Linked DNA regions of Arabidopsis thaliana. The protein of the gene in region 1 interacts with the protein of each later gene in a pairwise test. Each region holds a gene or a part of one and is shown in the gene's direction. Other genes may lie near its edges.

Region 1 (5,091 bases):
TTTATCTCCGCTTTGGGATATTGACCTTAACGGGAAGGTTAATGGAGCTGTGGAGACTTGTCGAGGAGAAGACGTATGGGTTATGTCAAAGCGTCTTAGGAACTACTTCAATTTTTCTCACCCGCTCATCGCAAAGCATTTAGATCCCGAAGAATGTGCTTGGGCTTATGGAATGAATATCTTTGATCTACGGACTTGGAGGAAGACAAATATCAGAGAAACGTATCATTCTTGGCTTAAAGAGGTAAAGTATCAGAGAAGCCTGTAATGTTTTGAGTTTTAGATTCGAAATTGGCAAATTATTGATCATGCTTACTGGTTTTGCTTTGATGTGCAGAATCTGAAGTCGAATCTAACAATGTGGAAACTTGGAACATTGCCTCCTGCTCTAATAGCATTTAAAGGTCATGTTCAGCCAATAGATTCCTCTTGGCATATGCTTGGATTAGGTTATCAGAGCAAGACCAACTTAGAAAATGCGAAGAAAGCTGCAGTGATTCATTACAATGGCCAATCAAAGCCGTGGCTTGAGATAGGTTTCGAGCATCTCAGACCATTCTGGACAAAATATGTTAACTACTCCAATGATTTCATTAAGAATTGTCATATCTTGGAATAGCAAACAGAAAGCTTGCATATAATCTCGAAGCAGACTGGGGATTTTGCGGGTTCTGCAGATTTACTCGGAATTTAGCTGGACCATGAAAGACCAGTTGCAGAGCAGCAGAGAAAGAGAAAGATAGAAATAAAGATTCATTCTTCTGTAAAAATAGAAGGTACCCTTTTTGAGATTCTTTTTGGTTTTGAAGTAAAGATTCCAATTTTGGATCTGTTATAAGAACAAGGAAGGTTTAAGGACATCACCAGAAGAAATTGGATTTTGGTCATGATCACAACAGTCCAAGGACCAACAACACACTGTTGCATTTGCTCCACTTGTACTCTTTTTATTTTTTTGGTTCGATTTTTGACAGTTAAAATTCCACATATTTTTTACTAAATGATTTAGTTTTAGGGATTTTATATGGACATTATTGTTTTGTTAAGGTCTCTAATTGATCAATCATAAGACTTTTCTTGGTGCAGAAGATTTTTGGTCAGATGCAATGTGCTTATCTCCTCCTCTGTCCTCTCCTATCTCTCTCCGTTTGATGTTATTTTAGATAAGATATCTAACGAAAATATGTGTTTATGACAATATTCACTATTTAGTACTGTAAATACCACACTTTTTAATATTAATTTAATGTCTTTTGTAAGAATCTTACCATTTGACCCCAAAAAATACTTGCCAATTATTTGTAAACTTGGTGGGGATAAATTAATTAATGATTGCTGATATGTCATGAAAAAAGTAATCTTTTTAGTTTAATTGCAGTGATTTGTCCCACAAAAGCAAAAGCTTTTTACATGCAAGTAAATAACTAATTAAAATAAAAAGTGTTTCAAGAATTATTTGGAACCAAAAATAGATAATAATGATTGTTGATGGATAAATTAAAAGTTATTGTATTCTTTATGTGAATGACAGATATTACAAAATAAAGTTAAAATGATATATATGTCATGCAAAAGGTAATCTTTTTAGTTTAATTTTGCTGTGATTTGTCCCACAAAGAAGCAAAAGCTTTTTACATGCAAGTAACTAACTAACTATTATTACTTGCATAAAGAATTTCTGGGAACAGAAATAAAATAAAAAATTAAAATTTGTTTCTGGATTAAGTAAGTAGTGCGTTGTTTCCAAGTAGTGATATCAATATCAAATTGTCGAATTTACACGAAGAACAAAAATAAGGAATCGAGAGAGAGAGAGAGATAGGCGCATATATGGGAAGAAAATGAGAGAAAAATGGAAACTTTGACCGCCATTGAACACTCACGAGATCTCTTCTTCTTGTATTTCTTCTCTCTCCTCTCTGTCTGATGCGTGTTCTTGATTCATCGGCTCAGATCAGTCACCAAGTAAGATTTTGATTACACCTGCGAGAGAGAGACCTAATTAGGGCTTTTCTTTTTCCGGCTTCCTTTCAAATCTGGCTGGAGATTCCTCGTTTTAAAGTTTCCTCCTTTTTTTGGATATTCCCCTGTTTAATTGTGCATTCATGTTTAGATCTCTTTTCTTCTTCTTTAATTTCTCTCATCTTTTAACATTTATATGCAATCTATCTATCTTTTACATGTGTATCTCTTTTCAGAATCCTCTGTTTATTGCTGTTTTGCATGCCGATTCATTTATTCTCTGATTACAAGATCATCATCATTGCTTTAAACCATTATATATATAGATTCTCAGGTTTCTTGTTCATCTTCACAATCACACTTATTGAAGAAAAAAATTGTTCCTTTTTTGGCTCTTTGCAGATAGAATAAATAGCAAACAAGATCCTCTGTGGAATTTGATACATAGAGAAACTGTCTAGTGCTGTGGTGTCTTTTGAGATTTTCTTGTGGTTCTGTGGATTGTTTGTTGGTTGGTTGCTTCTTGGATAAATGGCAGAAGTCCATAATCAACTAGAGATCAAGTTTCGGTTAACCGATGGTTCGGATATCGGTCCTAAAGCATTCCCTGATGCTACAACTGTTTCGGCTTTGAAGGAAACTGTTATTTCTGAATGGCCAAGAGGTCAGTTTTTTTTTATGCTTATTTACTCTTATGGCTAATAAATTGTAATATCCTTAGGCACTGTGTTTTGAGATTGTAAAGGCTTGAATCTTCTTGGAACAATGGTTTTGCTAGTTATGAAAATCATGTCCCAATACTATATCTTATGCAAAAGAAACTTCACAAATTTTTTGAGTAGATCAATTCGCACAATGTTACTCACCATCCGTAGAGTTGTACCTGTTCCTGTGATTGCTTACTTGTTCTGTTATCGGTGAGCCTAACATGAACCTGTGTTCAACTCTTTGTACTGATCATACTACTTGTCATTTTGTTCTCTTGTGTTTGACTAATGATAGAGAAGGAGAATGGGCCGAAAACAGTGAAAGAGGTGAAGTTGATAAGCGCAGGGAAGGTATTGGAGAACAGCAAGACGGTTAAAGACTACCGAAGTCCTGTCTCTAATCTCGCAGGCGCTGTCACCACAATGCACGTTATCATCCAAGCTCCGGTTACGGAAAAAGGTAAAACATTCTTTAGATTATTCTCTTGTTTTCTTAGCTCCTTCATATTCAAAGAGACAGCAGCCTCTAGTGTAGGATCAAAATCTGTTGTGGACCTCCTGACAGAGAGATGGTGTTGTGTTTGAAACAGAAAAGAAGCCTAAAGGTGACCCGAAGATGAACAAATGCGTCTGTTCAGTCATGTAAGAGAGTAGCAAAATCTCAAGAGAGACTCATCAGATTTCTGGTCCTTAAGTTTGGTCTTTCTTGTGGTTAGTATAGATTGTTTACTAATACAGATACAGAATTAAAGAGTATTGAACCATTTTTTTTTATAATAAAAAAAAATAGTATAAATCAAAGCTCTACTCTAGCTTGTTGCAAGATTGAAAGAGATCATCAATAAATCAAGGTACTGGTGATTCAGTTCCTCTTAATGGAGTCTCTGTTTTAGCTCTATTTCTCAGTTCCTCTGCATTGGGAACAAAATGGACCTGAAACCCTCTTTATCATAGAAGAGTTCCAGAATATTAGTATTGTGAGACTAAAACTAGAAATATCTCCAAATCATCGGTAGAGATGAATTAAGTAGACTGTTGTTCTCTGTTGGCAGAGAATTGTGAGACTGAACTCTCAACAACAGATGAAGAAATAATAATGTATCATCAAAGATTTAGAATTGAAAGCAAAAAGAGACAAATAAAACAAGTTTAAAGCACATATAAAGCTTAAAACATTAAAAGTAACAGAGGCGATCTGTCCTGCTGTTGCGCAGGTAGACGACTAGCAGGGGAAGAATCAACGAGCATCAGAGAATGGTATGGAGGAGAAAACACATTGAGGCATAGGTTCCATCTTTTGGGTGGTGAGATCATACACAAATATTTGGACGCCACTGAAGTAGATAGAGTTCCTTTTGATCCCTGGGACGCCACTGGGGACAACAGTGATACCCATGTCATAGATCAATGCTTCATCGCCCAAAGAATCGACTTTCACCAATTTGCCACCCACTTGGTTTTTCTTCTAGATGTGAAAATATAATGTTTTGCTGTCTTGTACTATACTTGATACCACCAAAAACTCTCCGGATACTGTGACTGCAATGCGTGTCCTGGAGCGGCGTATCAATTTCCAATAGAGTTTTTGATCTTTTTGCTGAAGAAAAGGGTCAAAATCGTGATGATTGAACGAATACCAATCAAGAGACAGAATACCAATCAAGGGTCCAAATAGTGACAAGAGAATGGGCATAACGAAGGTAGAGCTTTTGATGAGTGTAGACAAAGTCTTCAAAACACTCCAAGGGAAAGTCGTGCCACTTGTTATCTCCTTTCTTGGTAAACACACGAAAGTCGTACTCCAACATTACAACTAGGTAATCTTTGGTTTTATTGTCCATCCGAAAACAAGCTCGGTCGTATCTTAAGTAACTCCTTAAATATGGCTTATTGCTATCGGGTAGATCAATCCTCTCACCAGCTAAAGGAGATCCATACTAAGAGGTTTCAACAACAAGAGCCAGCTACCACAAGTCGTCAGACAACGACTCTGGTCTCTGGGGAAAGTCAACACCAAGTTCTCTACTTCTGTAAACGTTGTCTTGATCCTCCGGAACGTACAACACACAACTACTACTGTGTTTGTTGGATTCCTCCTTGGGAGAGAAGAGAATCAGCCATGGAATCTGATTTTGGTCAGGGCCGCAGCCTCTCGAAGCAGAGTGCCACTACCGATTTAGCTCGATTAAGAGATATCAAACTCAATCGTTTGAAAACACATCGCAGCAAGTCCGGACATAGCTCCGACCCGTTTGCTTCTTTTTCTTCTTGTCTCCCACGATTTGCTTTTTTTTTTTGCTCAAACAAACATCTATTTCGATAGTGAAACCCTAAGCGCTATATAAATTTGTTGTAATTATCAAAAATGAAGACGTCAAATATAAAACTCTTGATGAAATTGGTTCTGATATCCTCTACCTGG
Region 2 (3,845 bases), on another chromosome or scaffold:
GTTTATGTCTTCTTTCCGGGAAGAGTCCGTTGAGCGCAAGCAATACGTTGTAAAGTAAATAACCCTAAGCTACGTTTTATTTATAGAAAACAATCAAAGGAAATGTTTTGGTTTGGGCTGGGCTGGGCTTTCATTGTACCTGCTTAAGAGGCCCAAGGCCCAACATGCTTCTTCTTTTTCGTCTACCTCCAAATCAGCCCAGTGTGTTTGTTCTGGAATTCATAATTCATAGTTTCCGATTAAAAAGCAAGAGACCAGGTACAATCTCAACCTGTGGATTGCATGATAAAGATGATTTTAATCGGAAACCGTAACGATTCAAAATTGAAACAAAAGTATTCATTGAGGATATCAAAATTCGATAACCTAACGCATGTGTCTCGAATTAGAGAAATCAAATAGTGTTTTCTGGGCAAAATCAAAACCAATCGACACAAATCGATCTTTTGCGAAAAAAATACTAAAAAGAAAGGCAAACCCGTGTAAACTTCATCTTAATCTCATGAGTAAGAGTTTCCAGATAAGCATATCTCCGTGATGAAACTTTCTCCATTCCATTACCACCACTGATTGAAGATGCGATCACCGGAAAACAACCCAAAAAGCAAACACCGTCTCCATCTATCGGTAAGGAGAATTCGAGAGATTGATCACAGAGTAAGACGAGAGACTCTTTCGATTAATGCTCTCATTGTTCTCATCTGAGAATTCCCATGGCCACGGCAAATTGTGGTAGCGGCGGAGGAGAAACGGTGAGAGCTTGTTGCGCATCTCAAAAAGAATGAATACATAAACCGAACTATACCGACCCAAATTGAAATATAGAAACTGATATAAACCGAACTATACCGAGCCAAATTGGAATTTTTGAAATTGGAATAAAACTGAACCGAGCCAAATAGTCTCGCACTCTCACCAAACCCAGTTATCTTATTAAATTTTCACCAAATCCAGTTTATCTTAATGCATATCCTATCTTTTCATTAGTCCATAACTAATTCGTTGATTATTGTTCATTAGATATTTGCAGTAATACAAATCCCACTATGACAACATGATGACTCGCATAATATGACATTCAACTATTGTGAGATTACAAAATTTAAAGATATTTTACTTCTTTTTTTTCCAAAATAAAATTTACATTCTATTGATAAAATGTAATTAGTATGGATAAATTAGAATCATAAAACATTAGTTTGAGATAGAGATTTAAAATAATCATGTCACAAAAACTAGATAAAATTTCATTAATTATGATTGGTTATCTGGTTTCATTTTTTATTTTTTACAAAAATATAATCAGCCGTTCATATCTCTACACTTGGCTATAGAAATAGAGAAATATCAAATATGTACCAAAGAGGACAATTTTACAATTGAAAATTCATCGTGATTCAGAATCATTTGGAATCTAAGTGGGGTCAAATCAAATATAGCCCACCCTTTATAATTTCTTAAAAAAATTAGATAGTATTTTAAAATTATAATGTTTACAGATATTTCTTAAGCAGCCATTATTACTAAAATAAATCATAGTTTATCCAATTAAATTATTCGCTTCCGTTTCTTAAAGCATAAAAACCAAAACTTTCTCTTTCGTTTTGCTTTCTTCCAATCATCTGCAGGAGTGAATCGCAAAACCAAATTTGGAGGATTCTTTCTGAGGTATCAAAGCTTTCTCCTTTTGATTAACCCACACGAGAAAAAGCTCTCTTCTTTTGTAGGAATTCAAAAAGCTCGTCTCTTCTTGTTCGATTCAATCAGATTAGAAAAAGTTTCTGGATTTGAGCTGGATTGATCTAGGTTTAACTTGGATTACTTTTTGTAGGGGTTTCTCAGTGAGAAAATGGCTTCGAAACGGATCTTGAAGGAGCTGAAGGATCTCCAGAAAGACCCTCCAACCTCCTGCAGTGCAGGTTCACTTCAAAAATCTCAAATCTTTCTCCTTCTTGTTGGATCCATTACTTTATCTATGATTATCTGGTAATATGCCAGAGATTTAGCATTCTAGAGATCACAAAGGTGAAAGTTACTTTTCAGACTGATCAGAGTTGAGAAATGTAGAATCCTTCTTTGCGTTGTGGTGTTGTCTACTTATGTTTTGGCTTATGTTTATCTTAAGATTTTATGATGAATTTCAGTTTATTAGTTTCTACTTTTCTCTAATTATTAGACTAATCAGAGTTAGAAGAGTTGAGAAATGTAGAATACTAGAATCCTTCTTTGGTTTGTGGTGTTTTTTTTGCTTATGTTTTAGTTTTTGCAGGTCCAGTTGCTGAAGACATGTTTCATTGGCAAGCTACAATTATGGGTCCTGCAGAGAGTCCGTATTCAGGCGGTGTGTTTCTCGTTACCATTCACTTCCCTCCGGACTATCCATTCAAACCACCAAAGGTATTCAATATTGGAACAACTCTTAGATTACCACGAACTTTAGGTTTAGTAGAGTTCCTTGAAATTCTTGGACCTAATTAAAACTTGTATTTGCCCCCAAATCAAATCAATTTCTTGGCTTAATCTTGACACTTTTATTGGTTGTTTTGTTTTTATTTGCAGGTTGCATTTAGGACGAAGGTGTTTCACCCTAATATCAACAGCAACGGAAGCATTTGCCTTGACATTTTGAAAGAACAATGGAGCCCTGCCCTCACCATTTCCAAGGTGACTCTCATTTTTCAGAAACATCGGTTCTCCAATGTTCGTTTATGTTCCAAAAGTATAGCAAGAGCATCTACATTTTCAGCTAGGATTTTGCTCAATGCACAAGCTTTGCTTCTTGAATGTTTGTGTATGTAGTAAGATCATCATCTCTAGTTTTTAGCTGTTTTAATGGAAATGTTTATGCAATTGGTAGGTGTTGCTCTCGATATGTTCGCTGTTAACAGATCCAAATCCAGATGACCCTTTGGTACCAGAGATTGCACACATGTACAAAACCGACAGAGCCAAATACGAGGCTACTGCAAGAAACTGGACTCAGAAGTATGCCATGGGCTAAACAAAGATTCGTATGCTTCAGCACCTGTTTATGTTTTCATGTCTGTTTCTTTCTTCTTCTTGTTTTAACTTTAATAAAAATGTCTAAAATATCAACTTTTTCGTCTGTACTATATATGTTTATGGGTTTTATTATCATCATCTTTATCTGAAATTTGAAGATGGAATTCTAAAGCTTGAAGGTTATTTGTTAAAGTTTATTTACTAGTGAGTGATGAGAAACATTGTGTTGTTGTTCATTTCATTTTTTCTTTGTCAGGAATATTCATTGACTTGTTTTCTTTCCCAATATTTTATTTTACCACAAATATGTAGCTTATAATCACTATCTCGTAGACACACCGTCGTTAACTACGAGAAAAAAAAGAACAGACCATTTTACCAAACTGTTGTCTTTTGCCGACGAAGTCACCGAAGCCGGCGGCGGAAGAAAAGGTAAAATTACAAAAACTCTCTTCTGCAAAGTGACCATTTTTCACAGTGCTAAGTACAAATTTGTAGTCTTTAACCTCACTCACAGTTCATATATGTCGCATTTTGCATCAACAACAAAAAAAAACCTAATCTTTAGGGTTTATTTCTATTTGAAGGTTTTGTGGTGTTCATGGATACAAGAAAGATTCCGTTGTTCTGCTATTGGAATGGTTGTATTAAAGATGGTCCTGATGGTCCGTTCTATGAAGGGTCAAGTCCAAGAGGGATCAGAGTTGATAGCAAAATCGAACTATCCAATTTGTTGGATGATCTGCATCGACTTACTGGTTTTGAAAAGGGAAAGTTTCAGATTGATTTGATTGGTAGGTACCCTTCCATTGTTCAACAACAGATGGTCAAGTATGTGCGTT
Region 3 (4,663 bases), on another chromosome or scaffold:
CGAAAGTCGAAACAGATCTTACTAGTGGTCCCTCCAAAGTTTATGAACAGCGAGGAAAGTTGAGATGTAGTCACTTCCACACAAATTTGGTCTTGATACCCCCTGAAAAATAGTGGTAGAGCTTGATGAGCAAATAAACTAACCACAAACTTAGATTGAATCACAATATCCAGAATCTTATTCATACAAACCTTCAGATTCCTCAAAAGAAACTTCCTTTACTAATGAGGCAGATGCATTGTACTCAAATCTGGAATGAACACAAGGAGAAACCATTATCAGTATAAAACACAAACTGCACATATAAACCAATAGCTGAGTTTTACGATATGGGAGATATACAAAATGTTTCTACGGACTATTATCGTGATTGCCATTTGAGAACAGTTTCAATCAAAACTAGAATATGTCATCTAACAGTATTTAAAATATAGTTGTAACCATTTGTATCTCAACGTACTAATTTCAGTAGTTATCTCCTAAAAGTGTTAATTCTTTATCTTCTTCCATAAATATAGATATGATTAATAGGTACAAGTGGATCCTCTGGTCTCACCACTAACTAATAGCCAAGTCACTTAAGAAACAGAGCTCACTAAGTTTCAGAGACTAAAAAGACCCACATCAGTTCTCAGTAACACAATACCTGTAGTGTCAATATCAGGAAATGAGATGAAAATAAACAATTCTCATGTGCATGGTATTAGCATTCAAAGAGGAGACATCAAAAACCAAAAATTGCGGTCATAGTTACCTGTTAGAGAGAAGCACTTCAAGTTCATAGTCAGAAGCACTTTTAGTGACATCTACCATGACCTGAACAAGCTCAGTCTTCCTAGTGCTGGCCATGAAGAGATCATATTCCGTGGGAATAATGATAGCGAAGAAGTTATCACTCAATTTGCTTAAACACATCTTCTCTACTGATGACAAAGCAATTCTCCTGGTCATAGCTTCAGTCTCGGGATCAATTAGATAGATCGCAAAATCAGTGAGGATAAAAATACGCCGTTTCATCTTCCCCGAGCCGGTGAACTTCAAAACTTTATCAGCAAAAAGAATCGATGTATCACCTATAACAACAATGAATCACCTTCTCAACATCAAACACATGCAATTCAAGGTGAATCCAATCATTAGCAATCCAAACAACCACATAAGAAACTATAAATCGATGCCACAATTCTACAGCTGATTCAACTATTCCTCCAAGTTCTTCGATTCACAAATTGCCTCTCAATCTCAAATTCATCAAATAAAAACCAAAAGTTTGGAGAAACCTAACCTTGTTTCTCCAGAATTCGCATCAATCCAGGACGAGAAGAAACGTGAAGATAGTCACCACGATGCTCTCTATAGCGAGACGCTTTCCTTCTGACTTTACCTCCAGCGAATGGCGTGTGATCTCCTCCGTCTACCTCACCCACACTTCGATCTTCATCAAAATCAGGTGGAGGTGATTCTTCGCCGTCGAACTTCGGCCCCTTTTGCTCCTTCAACCGGTTCATTCCTCCCGGCGACGAACTCGAAATCGGAATCGGTTAGCTTATTCTCAGATTCTGCGTTAGAAAAATCTCCAAAGTGAGAGAGAAGACGTGGCTTCAAATGATTCGATCGATTAAAAGATACAAATCTCAGCCGTTAGATTATATGACTTCATCGCAACGCGTTTCGATGCCACTTGATTTGAAATTTATAATAAACTCGCAGCCGTTAGATTTCAATACCACTTGATTTAAGGATAGGATATCAACCGTTAGATTAGATGACTTTTTAAGACGATGTCGTTTCAATGCAACTTGATGTTTTAATTAAGAAGCGCCGCGTCGTTTCAAGGTCCACCGAATAATAAGAGGGTTAAAAGTAGAGTCCACTAGTCAAAGAAAGTAAATAATCCACACGGTATTTATTGTAGACGTGAGCACAGAGAATAATTCGTATTCTTCGTCTTTCGTCCACCACCATCTCTATTTTCTTCCTTTCCCCTAAGTCTTGGTTCTTCTTCTCTCTAATACGAGAAGAAAAAGGCGAAAACCTCGCCAATCCGATTACGCGAAAAATCAAAGGTATTGTCTCTGTAGCTTTTGGATCTATTACTTATATTTCTCACGGATTTATAGCTTCTCTGATTCGTTTAGAATCTTTGTTTGATTTTTGATTTTTAGGTTTTTGGATATGGCGTCGAAGCGGATCTTGAAGGAATTGAAGGATCTCCAGAAGGATCCACCTACATCATGTAGCGCAGGTACTTGTTTCGTGTTTGGATTTTGAGATTTCATCTTAAAAAGTTTTGTTTCCCTGAGCTGGTGTTGATAGATCCGGTTTTTTTGTTCGCTTATGCTTGGATTTGTTTGGATTTGTGTGTTTATGTGTTGTTTGGTACCGATCTCGAGCTAAGTACTCGTTTTACTTTTTAAGATCTGGCTAGAACTAAATTTGGTTTATCTCGTTTCTGATTTCTCTGGTGAAGATCTTATAAAGGCTTAAAACTCGTTTCATTGTCTTAGTTTCTGGGGTCTGGTTATACTTGTGAAGAAAAAACTGTCTCTTTGTTTCCTTGTGCTTATGTGGTGTGAGATTGAGTTTATCTTTCTGTGTACAGGTCCTGTTGCTGAAGACATGTTTCACTGGCAGGCAACGATAATGGGTCCTTCAGAGAGTCCTTATGCTGGAGGTGTTTTCCTTGTAACCATCCATTTCCCTCCGGATTACCCATTCAAGCCTCCTAAGGTGATTCCAATATTTTGAGAATTGTTATCAAGTATGTTTTGCCAAAGCTCGTATGTTCTTTATGGTTGCTTCATTATCTCATTGTTCTTCATTATGGTGTGTGTGATGATATCTAGGTGGCCTTTAGGACCAAGGTGTTCCATCCCAACATTAACAGCAACGGTAGCATTTGCCTCGACATCTTGAAGGAGCAGTGGAGTCCTGCGCTCACCATTTCCAAGGTTCGGTTTCTCTTATTCTTTTGTTAACAATAGAAACCCACCTTAAAACAAATACTCTCTATTAAAACTGCTTCAGAGGCAGTAATCTACTCTTATCAAACATGCTTTTGCTCCTTAATCCCTAGTTGAAGTGATAAGATTGAGCTGTCTTCATTAAACTTTGACTCATTTCGGTTGTCTCTGAAACATTAAGCTTATTAGACTCATTGAGGATGAAAAATTGTTGTTTGTTATCGATCAGTTCTAACAACTGCTTTGCAATTAACAGGTGCTGCTATCGATCTGTTCTTTGTTAACCGATCCAAACCCGGATGATCCTTTGGTGCCCGAGATAGCTCACATGTACAAGACTGACAAGAACAAGTACGAGTCCACTGCACGAAGCTGGACTCAGAAGTATGCCATGGGCTAAATGGAAAATCCCACCTACTAAATTATCTCTTTATGAAGAAAAAAATCTGCCTTAATTTCTATGTATGATTCGATAGACATCTCTTTGTGTCCTTTTAACTTTCTGAAGACAGGACCAAATGAAGTGGGTCTTGTTTTAAACGAAACAAAAAAAAACATCATCTTTGTGAAAACTAGAATCTGATCATCTTCTGTTGTTTCTTCTTGTGGTGAAATTATGATTTGATGTTTTCGTTGTGTGATGAGTTGCTACGAGTTGTTCAAATTTATCAAACTAGTCTTCAAACTTATCCAACTGGTCTTCAAACTTATCCAACTGGTCTTCAAATTTACTCTGAGTTAATCGTTGTGGCCAATGCCCGTCATGGTGACAATGCGTTCTGTTGTAGCACGTATGTTGTAGAAAATGAGTTTTGTACCTTGCAAGGTGCGCCTGTGGATTGTGGACTACATACGTGATGCAACAAACATTTTAAGTATGCAATAATATCACAAACAATCCTATATCCATTAAACGACATGTATTATGCATGTTTGAACTCAAGTAGTAACTCAGCAATGATTCACTAGTACAAAACCACTAAACACCCTATTTTGTTTATAAGTTATAACAGTTTTCTTATTCGTATCATCCATCATATCATGAGTTTGACGAAAACATGTTATTTGGTGAAGTCAAATTATTTGACAATACAGTATTTAATAAAATAATAAATAGCCTGATTATGTGGAATGTGAGTGGTATAGAATCAACAGAAAAAAAAAAAAGAGTGGTATAGAATCTAATACTACAGATAATCTATAGATGAATGGGTATGGACTGAACTCAAGTTATGTAGATGGGCTTCGATGGACCAAAGATCCATCGCTCGTCCGAGCTTAAAGTATCACCCCTAACAAATTATCTTTACAAGTCCACAGGTAAGAGAAAAATACATTTAATAGTGTTGTGCTATTAGAATATTTTTGAATTTCTCTTCTCTATAAGAAAATACAGTATGTTACTATCTTTTTTTCAAAATTTATCATTATCCCACGGATCAGTGTATTAGAAGAGTATCAGTTTGAACTTAGAAATGATAACCAACAGGCAAAACTTACTCTAGTTAAGAGCAAAAGACCAAATTAAACATCTGCTTTAAGTTTAACAAAATAAGAAATCATAGGGACTATAGGTTTGATTTAGATATCCATGAAACTTGTAGGCTAAGAACTCTAGACATTCAAACGCAAAATTCAAACAATTGGTGTCGACTGAAAGAAATAAAATAAAAATCAGTGTTCCATGTTTTTTGGTTTAG
Region 4 (4,320 bases), on another chromosome or scaffold:
TGGTACTTCCTTATGGCTCCCATCTTGTTTCTTGAGATGAAGATTTACGGACAGTGGATGTCTGGTGGACAAAGACGCCTCTCCAAAGTCGCCAACCCTACAAACCACCTTTCCATTGTCGGTAACTTTGCAGGAGCACTTCTAGGAGCATCCATGGGGTTGAAAGAAGGACCAATATTCTTCTTTGCCATAGGGTTGGCTTATTATTTGGTTTTATTTGTGACTCTCTATCAGAGACTTCCCACGAATGAAACCTTACCTAAAGAGCTTCACCCTGTTTTCTTCCTCTTTGTGGCTGCACCAGCCGTCGCTTCCATGGCCTGGACCAAGATCTCTGCCTCTTTCGATCTCGGTTCGCGTCTAGCATACTTCATCTCCTTGTTCTTGTACTTCTCTCTGGTAGTTTTTGTTTTCATTAACAGAGTTCTAGTGAGCTAGTGCTGAGTTTCTTGTGGTACAAGAAATGTAACAGCTTTACTTCTTGTGATTCTTGTTTCAGGTTTGTCGGATTAACCTTTTCCGGGGATTCAAGTAAGCTGTTTCTTGAACTGCAAGGATCTAATTTACCAAACCAAATAACATACATGTTATCTGACATAATTATTCAAAAAATATCAGATTCTCGCTAGCTTGGTGGGCTTACACGTTTCCAATGACGGCAGTGGCCAGTGCGACGATCAAATATTCAGACGAAGTCACGGGAGTGGCAACGAAGATACTATCGGTTGTGATGTCGGGAGCAGCAACTCTGACGGTGATAGCTGTGCTTGGGTTGACGGTGATGCATGCTTTTGTCCAACGTGATCTCTTCCCCAATGACGTTGTCATTGCCATAAGTGCAGAACAACCGAAGCAGAAGAGATGGTTCAAACATCTCACAAAAGAAAGTTATGGAAATAATGAGAGATGTCCCAAGATTTTGGATCCGGAAGATAATCAAATAGATTTAGAATCTCCTCCTTTAGTAAATGTAGATAGTTCCACGGTTCAGAATTCAAATTAACAAAAAAAAAAAATGTGATGAAAATTCATGATCTTTGTTAATTAACTTCTCATGTACAACACTATAGCAGTGCTAATAATAATAAATTAGCGAAAATCTTAATTATTTTGGTAAATTTTAGTTGCATACCATTCTTTTTACTGATCATGATAAATTACTTCTTCATTTCAGCAAAAATATAAAAACTATAATCACTTTGGCTTATTCTTTCGTTAGATTTAGTTATTATAGTATTGTTTGATTCAATTCAAGTAAAAACTATTTGAGTTATAGGCAAACTTAGTCACACCAACCGCAACCTTCACAATTTGTCTTAACAAGTTAGATCATATTTCGTGGAAATAATGTCTAGCTTAACATCTAATTTGTCGAATATATCTTAATGTCACTGTTATGTTAATTCATCCTCCATCTTTATACTTTGTCACCAAAACGAATCGTCTTGTCACATATGACATATGACAGTAAAAACAATGTAATAATTTCCTACACATCACGTTTTTGAAAAAAAACATCCTTCATCAACCGCTGGTCAATCTTGAAAGCATGGTAAATTCATTCAAATTACGTCAAATGATTCGTTCTACAAAACTCTCAGCCGTCGGATCATACGACTTTTGACTAAACCACTTAAACGACGACGCTTCGACGGGATTGGAAAACATCGGCGCCACATGATGATGATACGAACAACCGCGTTATTTTATATGTGCCGTAGGTACAACGCTGAGTTAGGCCCACCCAAAAAAAAGTTTGACATTATTTAAAACGAACGAATCTGAAAGAATAAAGCAGCAGAGTCCACTAATCAAACGAACCAGAATTTACCCGCACCCTATTTATTGTGGTCGCGACCACACAACATTTTCAACTTCTTCTTCTCTTCCGTTTCACCACCCTTTCTTCTCCTAAATTCGAAGAACCAAAACCAAAAACGTGAATTCGGAGTTATGATTTTGGATCTTCTTCCCGTCTTTATATATAATTTTCTGGGTTATGTTTTTCTTCTTCTTAATTCATCTGACCATTGGATTGGTTTTCGATTGCAGAGTCTTCAATTGGAATTTGGATCGTGGGATTTTGGAAATGGCATCGAAACGGATTTTGAAGGAATTGAAGGATCTGCAGAAGGATCCTCCTACTTCATGTAGCGCAGGTACCTATTCTTTTAGTCGATTTATCAACTTTGATTCAATAATTATGTTCCTCTTGCTGGATAATGATGGGTCGTTGGTTTTGATCTTCTTTTGAGCTGGTTTTTTATGTGTGCGACGGTTTGATATTGATCTCTCGTTAGCTTAGATCTAATTATCCTTGATTTTTAGGTAATTCAGCTGCTAATAACAGAAATTTGCATACTTCATGGTAACACTTGTTTGTGATTTTTCTAGGAATGAATCATAAAGGTCAATGTTCAAACTTGTTTGCTCGTTGATAGATCTGGTTTCATTTTTTGATTTCCTTGGATGAGATCTTAGGATTATAACTCTGTTGTTCTCTTCTAATTTTGCCCCTTTTACCAACTTCTTCTTATATGCATGTTGTTGCTTTTCTGGTTTGGTATTGAAGTTTTGGTTAAATGTTGACAGGACCCGTTGCGGAAGACATGTTTCATTGGCAGGCCACTATAATGGGTCCATCGGATAGCCCTTATTCTGGAGGAGTTTTTCTTGTAACCATCCATTTCCCTCCAGATTACCCATTTAAGCCTCCTAAGGTATATTCAAATCTCTACAGCTGCTTCTTCTTCTTTGAATTTTTTTTCCAACTTTACTTCGGCCATCATTTTTCTGTTGCTAATATCTTCCATCGTTTATCTATTGTTCTTTTCTCTGTGTTCTTGATTTCATTGCTCTCTATGTATGTTGTTACAAAAAATGTAGGTGGCTTTTAGGACGAAGGTGTTCCATCCAAACATTAACAGCAATGGAAGCATCTGCCTCGACATCTTGAAGGAGCAGTGGAGTCCTGCTCTCACAATTTCCAAGGTTTTCTTTTGTTCTTCCTCATCTTTATCATATTAGAACCATAATTTTGCAGCTTTGCTCTCCAGGTGACATCAATTTTGTGTGGTGCAACAGGTGCTGCTATCGATCTGTTCTTTGTTAACGGATCCAAACCCAGATGATCCTTTGGTCCCTGAGATAGCTCACATGTACAAGACAGACAAGAACAAGTACGAGTCCACTGCTCGGACCTGGACCCAAAAGTATGCCATGGGCTGACACAAATACTGTCCTTAAGGAAGAGCCCTAATAATTAAACTCTTCTTATTTCTATGTAATGATCTTTTATAGACTTGTCTGTCTTATAAAATTTGTGAAGACAGGATCAGTAAGAAATTATTTGATCTCCATTCTATGGAATTGTAAAACGTAAATCATCATCCCGTCTGCTGTTTCTTTATTGCGTGATGCCGATGCGTCTCTGTGTTTATCAAGGCTCATATTATTTTGGATTTTATTCTGTCCAAAGCCCAAACTAGCTACAATCGTAAGCCTTTCCGTTTTCGTAAACATTATTAACTTACATACGTAACATTTTCATTTTAGTATTATGTGGGCAATGATTTATGTAAATGGTGTATGGGGCCTAAGAGTGAAGTTGTTCATGAGTTAAGATTGTGATTGTGATCCATCTGGAACAATTTAATAAAATGGGACAAAGGAATTATCACTTTGAAGTTTGACCAATTTAAGATTTACAAAAAATAGTAAAACTATTAAAATCACCTTTTCCCCAAATAATATACTCAAACGGGTTTAGCCATTAGTGCTACTAAACATTATGGTATAAAGACCTTGAAAAAACGGTTACTTTTTTATGGTATAACCCAACTATTATGACACTTTTGTGTTCAAGGTTCTGTTTCAGTGATGGAGTATAGTATATTTTAACATAATGTTTATCCCACGAATTAGATTCCTCTTCGATGGACACATGTTGTTGTTAAGGTTGGGAGCTTATGAGGTTGGCGAGGTTTAAAGCAGTAATCAGGGCTTATTATGTTGAGATTAAGGTTATGATTTTATAATTTCACGTTAGTTTGTTGACGATTTATAAAAAAAAAATGTTATGAATGCATATTTTGCTTAATGAAAGTGCTAGTGGACGCTTGATCAATTCATGTTAATCTTTAAAACTCTTTATCTTAAGATTCAAATCAAAGTTTATTTTCTTTCTCGAAACTCCAACACTTGTATTTCTATATATTTTGAGTTTTGGGTTTACCGAGGCTTCCAAGTCCATTCGAATAAGTTTTTAAATGTGTGTTTTCACTACTCGAGCACTACTACTGATAAAACTTGTAAATAAAT

Evidence for each region.
Region 2: the proteins of MUB1 (region 1) and UBC8 interact in a two-hybrid assay, tested with the Arabidopsis thaliana proteins (one study listed by BioGRID).
Region 3: the proteins of MUB1 (region 1) and UBC10 interact in a two-hybrid assay, tested with the Arabidopsis thaliana proteins (one study listed by BioGRID).
Region 4: the proteins of MUB1 (region 1) and UBC9 interact in a two-hybrid assay, tested with the Arabidopsis thaliana proteins (one study listed by BioGRID).

The regions. Positions count from the first base shown.
Region 1 is NC_003074.8:11,361-16,451, forward strand, and holds MUB1 (membrane-anchored ubiquitin-fold protein 1 precursor), read left to right. Parts: upstream 1-1,869; 5' UTR 1,870-1,965; intron 1,966-2,098; exon of another isoform or gene 2,099-2,364; 5' UTR 2,365-2,493; coding exon 2,494-2,626; intron 2,627-2,964; coding exon 2,965-3,129; intron 3,130-3,259; coding exon 3,260-3,311; coding exon of another isoform or gene 3,312-3,315; exon of another isoform or gene 3,316-3,567; intron 3,568-3,883; coding exon 3,884-3,887; 3' UTR 3,888-4,546; downstream 4,547-5,091. Other genes in the region: GAUT13 (galacturonosyltransferase 13), read left to right, coding at 1-244, 338-619. UniProt on the Arabidopsis thaliana protein: May serve as docking site to facilitate the association of other proteins to the plasma membrane.
Region 2 is NC_003076.8:16,674,223-16,678,067, forward strand, and holds UBC8 (ubiquitin conjugating enzyme 8), read left to right. Parts: upstream 1-1,619; 5' UTR 1,620-1,668; exon of another isoform or gene 1,669-1,831; 5' UTR 1,832-1,849; coding exon 1,850-1,913; coding exon of another isoform or gene 1,914-1,919; intron 1,920-2,260; coding exon 2,261-2,397; intron 2,398-2,559; coding exon 2,560-2,664; coding exon of another isoform or gene 2,665-2,799; exon of another isoform or gene 2,800-2,857; coding exon 2,858-3,001; 3' UTR 3,002-3,287; downstream 3,288-3,845. UniProt on the Arabidopsis thaliana protein: Accepts the ubiquitin from the E1 complex and catalyzes its covalent attachment to other proteins. Mediates the selective degradation of short-lived and abnormal proteins.
Region 3 is NC_003076.8:21,631,502-21,636,164, reverse strand, and holds UBC10 (ubiquitin-conjugating enzyme 10), read left to right. Parts: upstream 1-1,917; 5' UTR 1,918-2,066; intron 2,067-2,138; exon of another isoform or gene 2,139-2,165; 5' UTR 2,166-2,175; coding exon 2,176-2,245; intron 2,246-2,602; coding exon 2,603-2,730; intron 2,731-2,846; coding exon 2,847-2,951; coding exon of another isoform or gene 2,952-2,978; exon of another isoform or gene 2,979-3,219; coding exon 3,220-3,363; 3' UTR 3,364-3,598; exon of another isoform or gene 3,599-3,717; intron 3,718-4,118; 3' UTR 4,119-4,144; downstream 4,145-4,663. Other genes in the region: AT5G53310 (myosin heavy chain-like protein), read right to left, coding at 71-102, 192-250, 755-1,073, 1,286-1,508. UniProt on the Arabidopsis thaliana protein: Accepts the ubiquitin from the E1 complex and catalyzes its covalent attachment to other proteins. Mediates the selective degradation of short-lived and abnormal proteins.
Region 4 is NC_003075.7:13,914,973-13,919,292, reverse strand, and holds UBC9 (ubiquitin conjugating enzyme 9), read left to right. Parts: upstream 1-1,792; 5' UTR 1,793-1,999; coding exon 2,000-2,159; intron 2,160-2,592; coding exon 2,593-2,720; intron 2,721-2,886; coding exon 2,887-2,991; intron 2,992-3,084; coding exon 3,085-3,228; 3' UTR 3,229-3,762; downstream 3,763-4,320. Other genes in the region: SLAH2 (SLAC1 homologue 2), read left to right, coding at 1-399, 500-531, 619-1,003. UniProt on the Arabidopsis thaliana protein: Accepts the ubiquitin-like protein SUMO/SMT3 from the E1 complex and catalyzes its covalent attachment to other proteins. Mediates the selective degradation of short-lived and abnormal proteins.